3 linked regions of the Stegostoma tigrinum genome follow. The main gene of each other region encodes a partner of the protein of the gene in region 3 in a complex. Links are inferred from orthologs where the notes say so. Each region holds a gene or a part of one and is shown on either strand. Other genes may lie near its edges. The genes, in order: limk1a, inka1a and pak4.

Evidence for each region.
Region 1: the proteins of pak4 (region 3) and limk1a are in contact, whole or in part, in a crystal structure (PDB 6WLY), measured with the Homo sapiens proteins. The link is inferred for Stegostoma tigrinum from reciprocal best matches to the Homo sapiens genes PAK4 and LIMK1. Residues at the interface, in NP_001014831.1 of Homo sapiens: Glu329, Gly330, Ser331, Gln358, Arg359, Leu362, Thr404, Asp440, Lys442, Ser443, Asp444, Phe461, Leu475, Val476, Gly477, Thr478, Pro479, Tyr480, Trp481, Met482, Glu507, Phe516, Pro520; in NP_002305.1 of Homo sapiens: Lys505, Arg506, Tyr507, Thr508, Val509, Val510, Gly511.
Region 2: the proteins of pak4 (region 3) and inka1a are in contact, whole or in part, in a crystal structure (PDB 4XBU), measured with the Homo sapiens proteins. The link is inferred for Stegostoma tigrinum from reciprocal best matches to the Homo sapiens genes PAK4 and INKA1. Residues at the interface, in NP_001014831.1 of Homo sapiens: Ser331, Gln358, Arg359, Glu361, Leu362, Thr404, Asp440, Lys442, Ser443, Asp444, Phe461, Leu475, Val476, Gly477, Thr478, Pro479, Tyr480, Trp481, Met482, Arg489, Glu507, Glu512, Phe516, Asn517, Glu518, Pro519, Pro520, Met524; in NP_976248.2 of Homo sapiens: Gly178, Arg179, Ser180, Arg181, Gln182, Pro183, Leu184, Val185, Leu186, Gly187, Asp188, Asn189, Cys190.

Annotation. Positions count from the first base shown.
Region 1 is NC_081380.1:14,146,298-14,150,043, forward strand, and holds the start of limk1a (LIM domain kinase 1a), read right to left. Parts: upstream 3,006-3,746; 5' UTR 2,765-3,005; coding exon 2,707-2,764; intron 2,310-2,706; coding exon 2,213-2,309; intron 1-2,212. UniProt on the Homo sapiens protein: Serine/threonine-protein kinase that plays an essential role in the regulation of actin filament dynamics. Acts downstream of several Rho family GTPase signal transduction pathways.
Region 2 is NC_081364.1:12,626,508-12,630,253, reverse strand, and holds the start of inka1a (PAK4-inhibitor inka1), read right to left. Parts: upstream 2,473-3,746; 5' UTR 2,287-2,472; coding exon 2,236-2,286; intron 1,483-2,235; exon of another isoform or gene 1,301-1,482; intron 1-1,300. UniProt on the Homo sapiens protein: Inhibitor of the serine/threonine-protein kinase PAK4. Acts by binding PAK4 in a substrate-like manner, inhibiting the protein kinase activity.
Region 3 is NC_081392.1:17,174,627-17,178,372, reverse strand, and holds the start of pak4 (serine/threonine-protein kinase PAK 4), read right to left. Parts: upstream 2,667-3,746; 5' UTR 2,527-2,666; intron 2,412-2,526; exon of another isoform or gene 2,098-2,411; intron 1,228-2,097; exon of another isoform or gene 1,113-1,227; intron 954-1,112; exon of another isoform or gene 1-953. UniProt on the Homo sapiens protein: Serine/threonine-protein kinase that plays a role in a variety of different signaling pathways including cytoskeleton regulation, cell adhesion turnover, cell migration, growth, proliferation or cell survival.

The sequences.
Region 1 (3,746 bases), on a different chromosome or scaffold from region 3:
CTGGGTTGGAAGGACCATTGTCCTGAACATTTTATTTCTGTATTTTCCAACGTATTCCTACAGTCTGCAATGCTTGACCTTCTAAGTCTTTATTTTTCTTTTTTATCCCCTCCTAAGAACTTGTACTGAGGAATCTGGACCTAGGTCCCTTGTGCCTACGATGGTTCCATAAGTGGAGAGTTGTAAAGTTTTCACTGTACTCATTTGAGGACGTGACAATAAAGCTAATTCAATTCAATGTGAATCAACGATTTACACACACTGCTTTCAGTTCAGTGTGCTGTATTTGATGCACATGATGTGGTCTCTCCTACATGGTGGACAGCATATGCAGTCTGGGTGATCACTTTGTGAAACGCCTCCATTCAGTGAGCAAGCATGATTCCGAGCTTTAACTTCCCACTTGGATTCTCCTCCTCTCTGCTCCCACACTGACTTCCCTATCCTTGCCTGCTATAGCTTTCCAATCAAGCCCAAAACAACTGGGAACACAGATAATAGGAACTGCAGATGCTGGAGAATCTGAGATAACAAAATGTAGAACTGGATGAACACAACAGGCCAAGCAGCATCTTAGGAGCAGAGAAGCTGACGTTTTGGGCCCAGACCTTCTTCAGATTTCTGGGGAACACAGCCTCTCTGGACTCAGCACTCCACAGCCTCAATATTGAGCTCAATATTGAGTTCAACAATTCTAAAATATGAACTGTCCCTCAATTTCGATCAGAGATAATGGGAACTGCAGATGCAGGAGAATCCAAGATAAAGTGTGGAGCTGGATGAACACAGCAGGCCAAGCAGCATCTTAGGAGCACAAAAGCTAACGTTTCGGGCCTAGACCACCCTCAATTTCATTTCTATTCATGTTTATTTTTCATTAGTTGAGCTTTAATTTGCTTCATTTTTTTTTCGAAAAATCACTATCCAACCATTCGAACCTCATCTGGAGGTATTTTATTTCTTGACATGTTCCATCACCATTCTCTTTAGCTTCTGTACATCAAATGTCATTCAATTTTCTGACGGTCACCAACCTATCCTTTAGTTCTTTTGTTCCACCATCCACTCCTACACCCCACTCCCAACCCCTTCCACTTACTCAAAACCTAAAATAAAATAAGGGCCTCAGCACCCTCCTCCCTGTTCTTTATCAACTCCCACACCGAGGCCTTGTCTTCGCATGAGCTACTTCCAACCCATTTTCACCTCACAGTCCACATTATCAGCCTTTCTCCTTCACTGGCTTACCATTATCCATTCTTTTGTTCGGCTAACTGCCTTTCTCCTCCTCCGAGCTCAATCTCTACCTTTACCCCACCCGCTGCCTTCACCATATAGACCATGTTTTGTTCGGCTAACTGCCTTTCTCCTCCTCCGAGCTCAATCTCTACCTTTACCCCACCCGCTGCCTTCACCATATAGACCATCTTTTGTTTGCTGCTCCAAGTTCTGATGAAGGTTCATGGAGCCAGAAATGTTTGCTTTTTGTCCATAAATGTTGCTAGACTTGCTCGGTTTCTCATGCAGTATCTGTTTGTGTTTCTATTCCATTTCGAACAAAAAAAGGTCGAAACCTTAAATGTTATCTTTTCACAGATGCTGTCAGAACTTTTGAATGTTCCTTATTTTTGTCTTTTTGTTAAAAGAATAGCATGGGGAACGTTAATAACAGTGGACGAATGGTACTTATTTCAATATATATAATGCATGGAGGTACACAAATATCCATTGTGTATTGTTTTAACAATACTGTACACAATTATTGTACATCTGCCTGGAAATAAAACTGTAATTACATTTGTGACACTTAATTCAAACTACTTCCACAACAATGATACTCCACTCCAATGTTGCAGTGTTCAAAAATTATTTTCAGTAACACATCAATAAAAAGGAAAAAATAATTTAGAATTCTTTTACAATATTCCACCCCCAACTATTCCCCCCCCAACACGTGGGCAACTTGACAGGAATTACCATTAGTGTTCTGAGGGTCCTCCTTGTTAAATGTTTAACAGAATGGGTTTACACTGGCTTGGCCTGCAATTGTTACCCTAATTGCCCTTGAGGTGATGTTACCGAGCCACCTTTCCAGTCCATGGCTTTTAAATGAGCAGAGGATAAAGGTCCAAGGTTATTGATGTGTCCAAGGATACAGACTGGCTCTACAGGCGCGCGCGGACACACACACAGGGGGGGGCTGGATTCTTACCTGAAGCAGGCATTGTGCCAGTCTGTGTTTAGGGCCTGGAGGTACTGACCATCATAGATAGAGCGACCACATCCTGCACAGCATGGAAAACATCCTCCTGCAAACCAAAACAAAATGTTAGCACACACTCCAGCAACTGCACACAGGCCAATATCGAGCACATCTTTGCTGCATCCAGACAGGCCAGTGACACACAGAATAACTCAATACAACGCAGGGCCCATACCAACTGCAGGCACAGAGACACACAAAGCACAATACAAGCGAATACAGCCCAGCAAGGCCTGCGTCCTGCAGCCAGACAATACAGCACAGAGCCCACTAAAACACACAGGCAGAGACAAAAAAAATGCAAACAGCATGAACTTGGCGGAATATACTAAAATGCAGTTTCCAACCAACTCGAATGATAACATGCAATTGAATCGAGCTCGGGACAATGAAGTCCTTAATTAAAACCAGGCAGAAGTGCTGCAGTGTCTAGTACAACCCACCCTCCTCCTCTCCCATCCGATCGTCCCTCCAGGTACAGCACAGCAGCATCAACCACATCCAGACCCGACAGCCTGCCTCCCGTGAAGCCGAGTATGTGGAACCAGCTCCAAACGAACATCCAACCACCACAGCTCTGTGGTACTCCCTCCCTTAGACTCAAGCAGACACCGAGTGAGACAGACGCAGGTTGGCCAACTGGCAGCTGATCCTGAGACCTGATGAAAGGATCGCTGCAAACTACACAGTAATGCAACTCCTGCAGCACAGCCGCCTCTCTCTCCCTCATACTCTCTTTCTCTCTCTTTCACTCACACACACACATCCCCAGAGACAGTTCAGAACGTTGCAACCCTATGTATTATTGTGCACAATTCAACACCCACCCCCAAAATGATCAGCTTTCACATTAGAATTGCATTCTGCGGGCTTTCTTTTTTATTTTCAAAAGTACTGAAACTCACAGAGTCTTTTTGGTTCATCATCTGGCACTATGACAGTGTACCATTGTTACAGAAATTACCTTTTATCAGTCATTTCAGTGAGTAACCACAAATATTTCTCTCAATCTATTGAAAGGTATATGTCATGTGAATGGTATTTGAGCTCCATGTCTGATTGGCTTATCGAATGAATGGGAAACTTTGATGCAGCCAGTCGCCCCTGAATTTGTTCAGTTGCTGCTGTTTTGGGGGACGATATTAACATTGGTATGGCATACAACAGGTCAGACTTGAGAGGTATGGACACGGTATTTGCAAGACCTCGCGCACATCACCAAATTAAAGACTGACACTGTGTTTAATTGGTTGTTGCAGGAACTCCTTATCACCCAATTATTAGAATTTATTAAATAACTATCATTCTCAATACAAGACTTTCACGCCCATCTGTTTAATGTGTTCTCTGAAGTATTTAACCATGGTTTGGCAGTTACCCATAATTGCTTCATTGTTCCATGTGCAGGAAGATGGGATTAGAAAGGGCAGCTAGGTGTCTTGCATGGGTCAGCATAGGCAAGATGGGTCAAATGGCTATCTTC
Region 2 (3,746 bases), on a different chromosome or scaffold from region 3:
CTACCAAATTGTATGAATCTATTTTGAGGAACTTGACAAGTATGTGGAAGAAGGGAATAGAGCATGATAAGATTGAGGGAAGTTGCAAGTAGACCCTAGTGGAGCAGAGACAATGGGAAGGTCAAGCAGCCTATTTCCATAAGACCATAAGATATAGGAGTGGAAGTAAGGCCATTCGGCCCATCGAGTCCACTTCATCTTGCTGTATATCCCATATAATCATGCGCTTTATTATCTATGCACAAAAGGTGATAGAAGTTTGGAACTTCCCCACATAAAGGAGTCGATGATAAATAATCATTTCAAATTTGAGGTTGATACAATTGTAAGCAAAATTCTATAAAAAAGGAAACAAGGAAAGTTGTGAAGCCAAGCTTCAGATAGGCCATCATTTCATTGAATAGGCTTGAGGGGCTGAATGGCCCACCCACATTCCACTATATATCAGGGTCTGTCGATTGACCTGCTTTTCTCCCATACAATCAAAATGCCTTCCAATCTACTAAACCCACAGTAATTCCATCATTGAATAGTGGATACATGAATATCTATTTAGCCCCAACCCTATCATGTCCTGAAAATTGCTTGACTTCTACCGTGTGAAGCCAGCATTATTTATGCTCCCCCTCCCATAGCTACAGCTCTATCAAGGGCAGGCATCGTGAGATCTAGAATGTATATTGTTCCAATGACACTGCCAAGATGGTTTTCATTTCTTCAGATTCTTGCAATACATGCTTGGAAATTAAATTGAGGTCTTCAGCAAATCCTGGAGGCTTCCATCACACACGCTGATTTAAAATACAATACTGCCTGTGAAGTAATTAAAGCTTTTCCGGGTCGGTAGGTGCCCCGAATGCCTATATCTAAACCGTTCCCGACTTCAACGAAAGGAGGAGTTAACTTCCTGCAGAGTAACACTTGATTTAGTGTAAACTCTGCATGTCTTTTGCAGTTTGGTTCCACGAGGAAAATTGACACGTGGGAATTTAATTGCTGAAGGCTGAAAGTTGTCCCCTCAGCCCCCTCTGGTGACCTAACCGATACATGCACCTTGGTGTCGGAATGGACCATCAAGAGTTGCAAGATCCCAGGCTCCATCCCTGGTCAATACTTAGTCTAATGACTTCAGGACACGAGGCCACTTGGCCCATCACTCCGACCTTGCAACTAGCTCGCTGCACGCGACACATCGTCCCCTGGCCCAATACCCCAAGCTGGGGAATGGGAAAGGGAAAGTGAAAGATGCAACGGGTGGAAATGAAAACCTCTTCCTCCTTCCCTCCCGCCATAACTTTACGTTTGAGCCTGGAACCTGGTCTTTCTCCAACCAGCCCTCGAGTGTTGCGGCGCTGATGGCTGTCGTTGGACAGTTCCCGGGCACGTCTGGCGCTGACGGCAAAGCTCTGAGGAGAACTCAAAGAGGCCCCTTTAACCGGGAGAGCTGGGATCCCTGTGGAGAAGGCAGCACCCTCGCTGTTTCTGATGAGTTAGAGATGAGTAAAAAGGTCAGATTCTCTCAAACATTCCATTCCAGTAGTACAGGCGCTGCGGGCAGGTACTAACACGTTAACTGTGCTTCATGCAGAGCACCTGGACATGCTACAGCTCACCTGGCCTATTGTACACTGTTTCACAAAGGATTCTGCATTCTCTTTCCAAACTGCTCCCCCTCCACCGCACCCCCCCCCCCATGGATGTTTTGGTGGTGGGGTGGGGGGGGGGGGGTACGGTCAGTTCTCACGATCTGAATGGTGTATCGCTTGAGTTAAACGTTGTCCACAGCATCTGCTCCTATTAGCCCGACTAAACCCAATTCCAGCTGCTAATTATATTAAACCCTCGGCTCCTTTTATCGTGAAAGACTGGAGTTACTAAATCATAACCACAGCCGGACACCCCCATAATCTTAGATCATAAGACCTAACAAAAAGGTTTTTAAAAGAAAAACAATATCGTCTCAAGTTAAGAACATTGACTCGTTTCTGAGCACCAAAGCCTGTAAAGTGTAAAAATTTCTAATAACGCACAGTACAGAGAATTCAAAAACTGTCCTCAAGAATTATTTAGGGTTCCAAAAGCTACTGGATTTTTAGGTGCAGTGATCCAATCCCTGCCACAATCTATTTTTTTCAAAGTTTGAAATAACTGCTAGCATTCGGGGAGTTTTTCTTACAACACACTCGACACAAATCGCCGCTGAAGCTTTTCCAATGAACCCTCTGTTTAACTCACCATTTCTTTGCGAAGATGACAAATGAAATCATCCAGTTTTGCGTCCTGCATCACCAAGCACTGTACTGCAGCTGCCCCTCCAGCACTGTCCTGTCAACAATCTCCGTCTCTACATTAGAAATCGCAGCTGCTTTTTCACTCGCTTTAGATCTTGACCTCTTTTTTTAAAAAAAAGTCCCTCAATTTTTTTTCTGTCTTGTTGCAGAATTCAGACACACTGGCATACACATATGACTATTTCATATATAGCTTTCCTCCGCAAGCTCCTCCCCAATCCCCGGCTCCCCTAGTTAAAAATCAACCAATCAAGACTCGGGTCCCTCCCTCGGAAGCAAGCGTCGGGCCAATCGCCTCGTTCTGTAATCTTAAACCAGATTGTTTTACAGAGATTTACAATGTGGAAAAATTGGGACTCCGCCAAGTGTCAGAGGGGGCCCGTCAAAAAATCTCCTTCTATATGTGTTGCATCAAATATTTTGGCTTAGTAAACAGTGCTGTGAACTTTCCTTTTAAAAAAATAAAATTGGAACGTTCGATATTCAAGTTCCCAAGCATCTGCTGCAACTTTTTTTTAGTTCTTGCGTTTTTAACATTTGAAAGTCTGGTCTTCATCAACGGGACAAATCTGCGTAAGAAATTGTGCACAGGCCCGGTGTGTCGGGGGGGGGGGGGGGTAGCCGACAAGCAATCTGCTTTATTAGTCTGAGGGCTTTTACACGGAAACAGAAATTGCTGGTAAAGTTCAGCAGGTCTGGCAGCCACTATGGAGAGAAATCAGAGTTAACGTTCCAGGTCACGCTTTTTTTTCCAGCTTTGGCTTGTATGCAGAATCTGGGTGAAGTCCCAACTTCCCAGCTTGGAAACCCCAGGAATGGTGTCACACACACATACATACTGGGAAGCAAAACTTCTTAAACTATTTCGCAATAGTTGTTGTAATTAGAGGAATAGAGCTAGAGAAATATATAGTTTGAGTTGCAGTGGTGAGGACTGTAATTTATATTAGAAATTATTGTAGAAACTCAGCTGATCTGGAAGGGTCTGTGGAAAGAGCTGCCAAACCTGGTGAGTTTCTCCAGCATTCTCTCTGTTTGTTTCAGATTTCCAGCATTTGCAGTAATTTGCTTTTTAATAATTCATATCAGCCCTGTCTCGGATGCAGCACACTCGTTGTTCAGTCACAAACAAGAACAGAAATTTCTAGTAAAGCTCAGTGAGTCAGGAAGTATCTGCTGAGAGAAATCAGAGTTAACTCTCAGGTCCAGTGACCCTTCCGCAGAATTGATATCATAGATGCTGCCAGACCTGCTGAGCTTTTCCAGCAATGTCTGTTTTTGTCTCTGATTTCCAGCACTCGCAGTTCTTTCAGTTTTCACTCTTCAGTCACATGGTTCAAGATGTGTTTGCTAAAGGAATCAACACAGGCTTTTCCTTTATTTGGTCATGGGATGCAGATGCCTCAAACTAGACCAGCATTTGCTGTCCATCTCCAATTACCCAGAGGCTGTTAA
Region 3 (3,746 bases):
TCCCCTCCCCTTCTACCCCCTCCCCGCCCCTCCCCCTTCTCCCCCTCCCCGCCCCCTTCTCCCCCCTCCCCCTCCTTCTCCCCTTCTCCCCCCCTCCCCGCCCCCTTCTCCCCCCGCCCCTCCCCGCCCCCTTCTCCCCCCCGCCCCGCCCCTCCCCCTTCTCCCCCCGCCCCTCCCCCCTCTCCCCCCCGCCCCTCCCCCTTCTCCCCCCCGCCCCTCCCCTTCTCCCCCCGCCCCTCCCCCTCTCCCCCCCGCCCCTCCCCCTTCTCCCCCCGCCCCTCCCCCTCTCCCCCCCGCCCCTCCCCCTTCTCCCCCGCCCTCCCCGCCCCTCCCCTTCTCCCCCCCGCCCCTCCCCCTTCTCCCCCCCCGCCCCTCCCCCTTCTCCCCCCCGCCCCTCCCCGCCCCTCCCCCCCGCCCCTCCCCCTTCTCCCCCCCGCCCCTTCTCCCCCCGCCCCTCCCCTTCTCCCCCGCCCCTCCCCCGCCCCTCCCCTTCTCCCCCCGCCCCTCCCCCCCACCCCTCCCCCTTCTCCCCCCCCGCCCCTCCCCCCCACCCCTCCCCCTTCTCCCCCCCCGCCCCTCCCCCCCACCCCTCCCCCTTCTCCCCCCCCGCCCCTCCCCCTTCTCCCCTCCCCTTCTCCCCCCCGCCCCTCTCCCCCCCGCCCCTCCCCCCCCGCCCCTCCCCCTCTCCCCTCCCCCCCCCGCCCCTCCCCCCTCCCCCCCCGCCCCTCCCCCTTCTCCCCCCCGCCCCTCCCCCTTCTCCCCCCCGCCCCTCCCCCCTCTCCCCCCCCGCCCCTCCCCCCCTCTCCCCCCCCGCCCCTCCCCCCGCCCCTCCCCCCTCTCCCCCCCCGCCCCTCCCCCCTCTCCCCCCCGCCCCTCCCCCTTCTCCCCCCCGCCCCTCCCCGCCCCGCCCCCTTCTCCCCGCCCCGCCCCCTTCTCCCCGCCCGCCCCCTTCTCCCCCCTCCCCGCCCCGCCCCCTTCTCCCCCCCTTCTTCCCCCCTCACACGTCCCACCACATGCCACACGCCCCGCCCCCACTCCCACTCCTTCTCACGCCCCCGCTCCCACTCTTTCCCTCTGTCTTCCCCTTTGTCACCCCCCTCCCTTGGACTGACCTGTCCGGCTACGGCTGCTGGTGCCTGCGGGGGAAGAGTTTTCTTCCCAGGGGTTCACTGCCACATCCGGGAATTCCCGAACCGCAGGCGCCGCATCCGGGCAACCGCATCGCCGTGGCAACGGGGAGAGACCAACCTCCCCCGGCACGGGGGTTAAGGGAGAGAGTAATTCCCTGCTTGCAGCGGGGGGAATCAGGGAGAGACTAATTCTCAGACTCGGGGAAATCAGGGAGAGACTAATTCTCAGGCTGGGCGGGTGTTACTGGGAGAGACTAATTCTCAGGCGGGGGGTTACTGGGGGAGACTAATTCTCAGGCTAGGGGGTTTACTGGGAGAGATTAATTCTCAGGTGGTGGGGCGTGTTACTGGGAGAGACTAATTCTCAGGCTGGGGGGGTTAGTGGGAGAGACTAATTCTCAGGTTAGGGGGTGTTACTGGGAGAGACTAATTATCAGGCTGGGGGTTTACTGGGGGAGACTAATTCTCAGGCTGCGGGGGTTACTGGGAGAGATTAATTCTCAGGCTGGGGGGGGTGTTACTGGAAGAGATTAATTCACAGGCTGGGCGGCGTTACTGGGAGAGACTAATCCTCAAACTGGGGGGGGTCACTGGGAGAGACTAATTCTCAGGCTGGGGGTTTACTGGGAGAGATTAATTCACAGGCTGGGCGGGGTTACTGGGAGAGACTAATCCTCAGGCTGGGGGGGGTCACTGGGAGAAACTAATTCTCAGACTGAGGGCAGGGGGTGGACAGGGAGAGATTTATTCTTCTCCCTGTAGGGAAGGACTGGGAGAGACTAAGTCACTACATTGAGGGGAGTTGAGACTAGTTTGTGCACAGCAAGCTCCCAGAGGCAGCAACGTGAGAAAAACTGGTTCATCTGTGTTTTAGAGACACTGACTGAGGGATAAACATGTTCGGGGACAGGTGCCCGCGGGATCCTACCCCTCGCGCCGAGGGGCTGGCTTCGGTTTAACGTCTCACCTCAGGGGCGGCCCCTGCGACAGGGCTGCACTCCCGCAGCACCACACGGAGGATTTCTGATCGAGGGGGTGTCACCGTCGACGGTGTCTGTCGAAACGTCTGGCCTGCTCCCAGCGGTGACTCCCCGCCCCGGCGTGGTGCTGTCGTGTCGCTGGCCTGCTCCAGAGCCAGGCCCCGGCGCGGACTGGAAGCTAAGTGGTCGGCTGTGCTGAACTTTTATTTCTGTAAAGCTGGACATTTTTGTGTTCTGTACTGAAAACAAGTGCAGGGGACCCCCCCGGGGGCCAGAGAACATCCATTGCTGGGGGGGAGAGAGAGACTTTCGAGCCTGGGTTTTATGGTCTGCATCGTGTAAAGCTTGTAACGAGAGGAGCCTGGGCACTTGCACATCGCAGTGGCAGTGTATAAACTGTTTTTAACTGTACTCACCGAGTACGTGTGACAACAAAGACTGTCCTGTCCTAATACTAACTCCCTGCCGGCCTGGACTAAAGTCCTTGGTGTTAGTTGTACCGGACCTAACACGTCCGACCGACATCGCTCAACCAGCAAAGTCTCCATCTGAAATATTGCTGCCCTCTGGCACCTGCTGGTTTTATGATGGTCTCACATCTCGATCCAGTTCTCGAAAGGTTTTGGAGCAGAAACACGAGAACACACACAGATTGTAAAATGATTGCGGCAAATATATCCCTTTCAAACCTAATCCCCCCGTTCAATCAGTCACAGACAATCTCCCAGACGCGCCATGGTTCTCTTAAGCTCAGGGACCTTTTTGTTCTTTAATATAATCCACATCTCAACTCTCTCGGGCAGAGAATTCAACACGTTCTCATCCACTAGGCACCGAAATTCTCGTCTCAGCTCAACCCAGAGGCAGTGCCCCCTTGGATCTAGTTAAAGTAAACAGCACCTCAGCATCTACGCTGTCATCCACGAGGAATTTAACACATTTCAATGAGATGACCTCATTCCACTGAACTCCAGAGGGTAGAGGCCCATTCTACTTAATCTCTTCTCACAGCCCACCCCCCTCTCTCCGGCAATCAATCCAAGGTATCTTTGCTGCACCCTCTCTGAAAGGCAACTTATCTAAATGGAGAGAAACCTCAAAATGTTTTGTAGAGCGACCTGGGTATCCTTGTGCATGAATTGCACAAAACTAGTGTGCAAGTAGAGCAGATAATAAGGAAGGAAAATGGAATTTTCATATATACTGCTAAAAGAATAGAGCATAAGAGGAGGGAAGTGTTGCTAATACTGTACAAGGCATTAGTGAAACCACACCTTGAGTATTGCATACAATTTTTGGACCACTTACTTGAGGAAAGATGTCATTGAATTGGGGGCCATTAATAAGAGCCTCACAAGATTAATTCTAGAGATAAAAGAGTTTGTCTTATGTCAGTGTAGATTTATATGCTCTTGATTTTAGATGTAATTGAGATCTTAAAATACTATAAGACCATAAGACATAGGAGTGGAAGTAAGGCCATTCAGCCCATCAAGTCCACTCTGCCATTTAAATCATGGCTGATGGGCATTTCAACTCCACTTTCCTGCACTCTCCCCGTAGCCCTTGATTCCTTCTGAGATCAAGAATTTGTCGATCTCTGCCTTGAAGGCATCCAACGTCCCAGCCTCCGCTG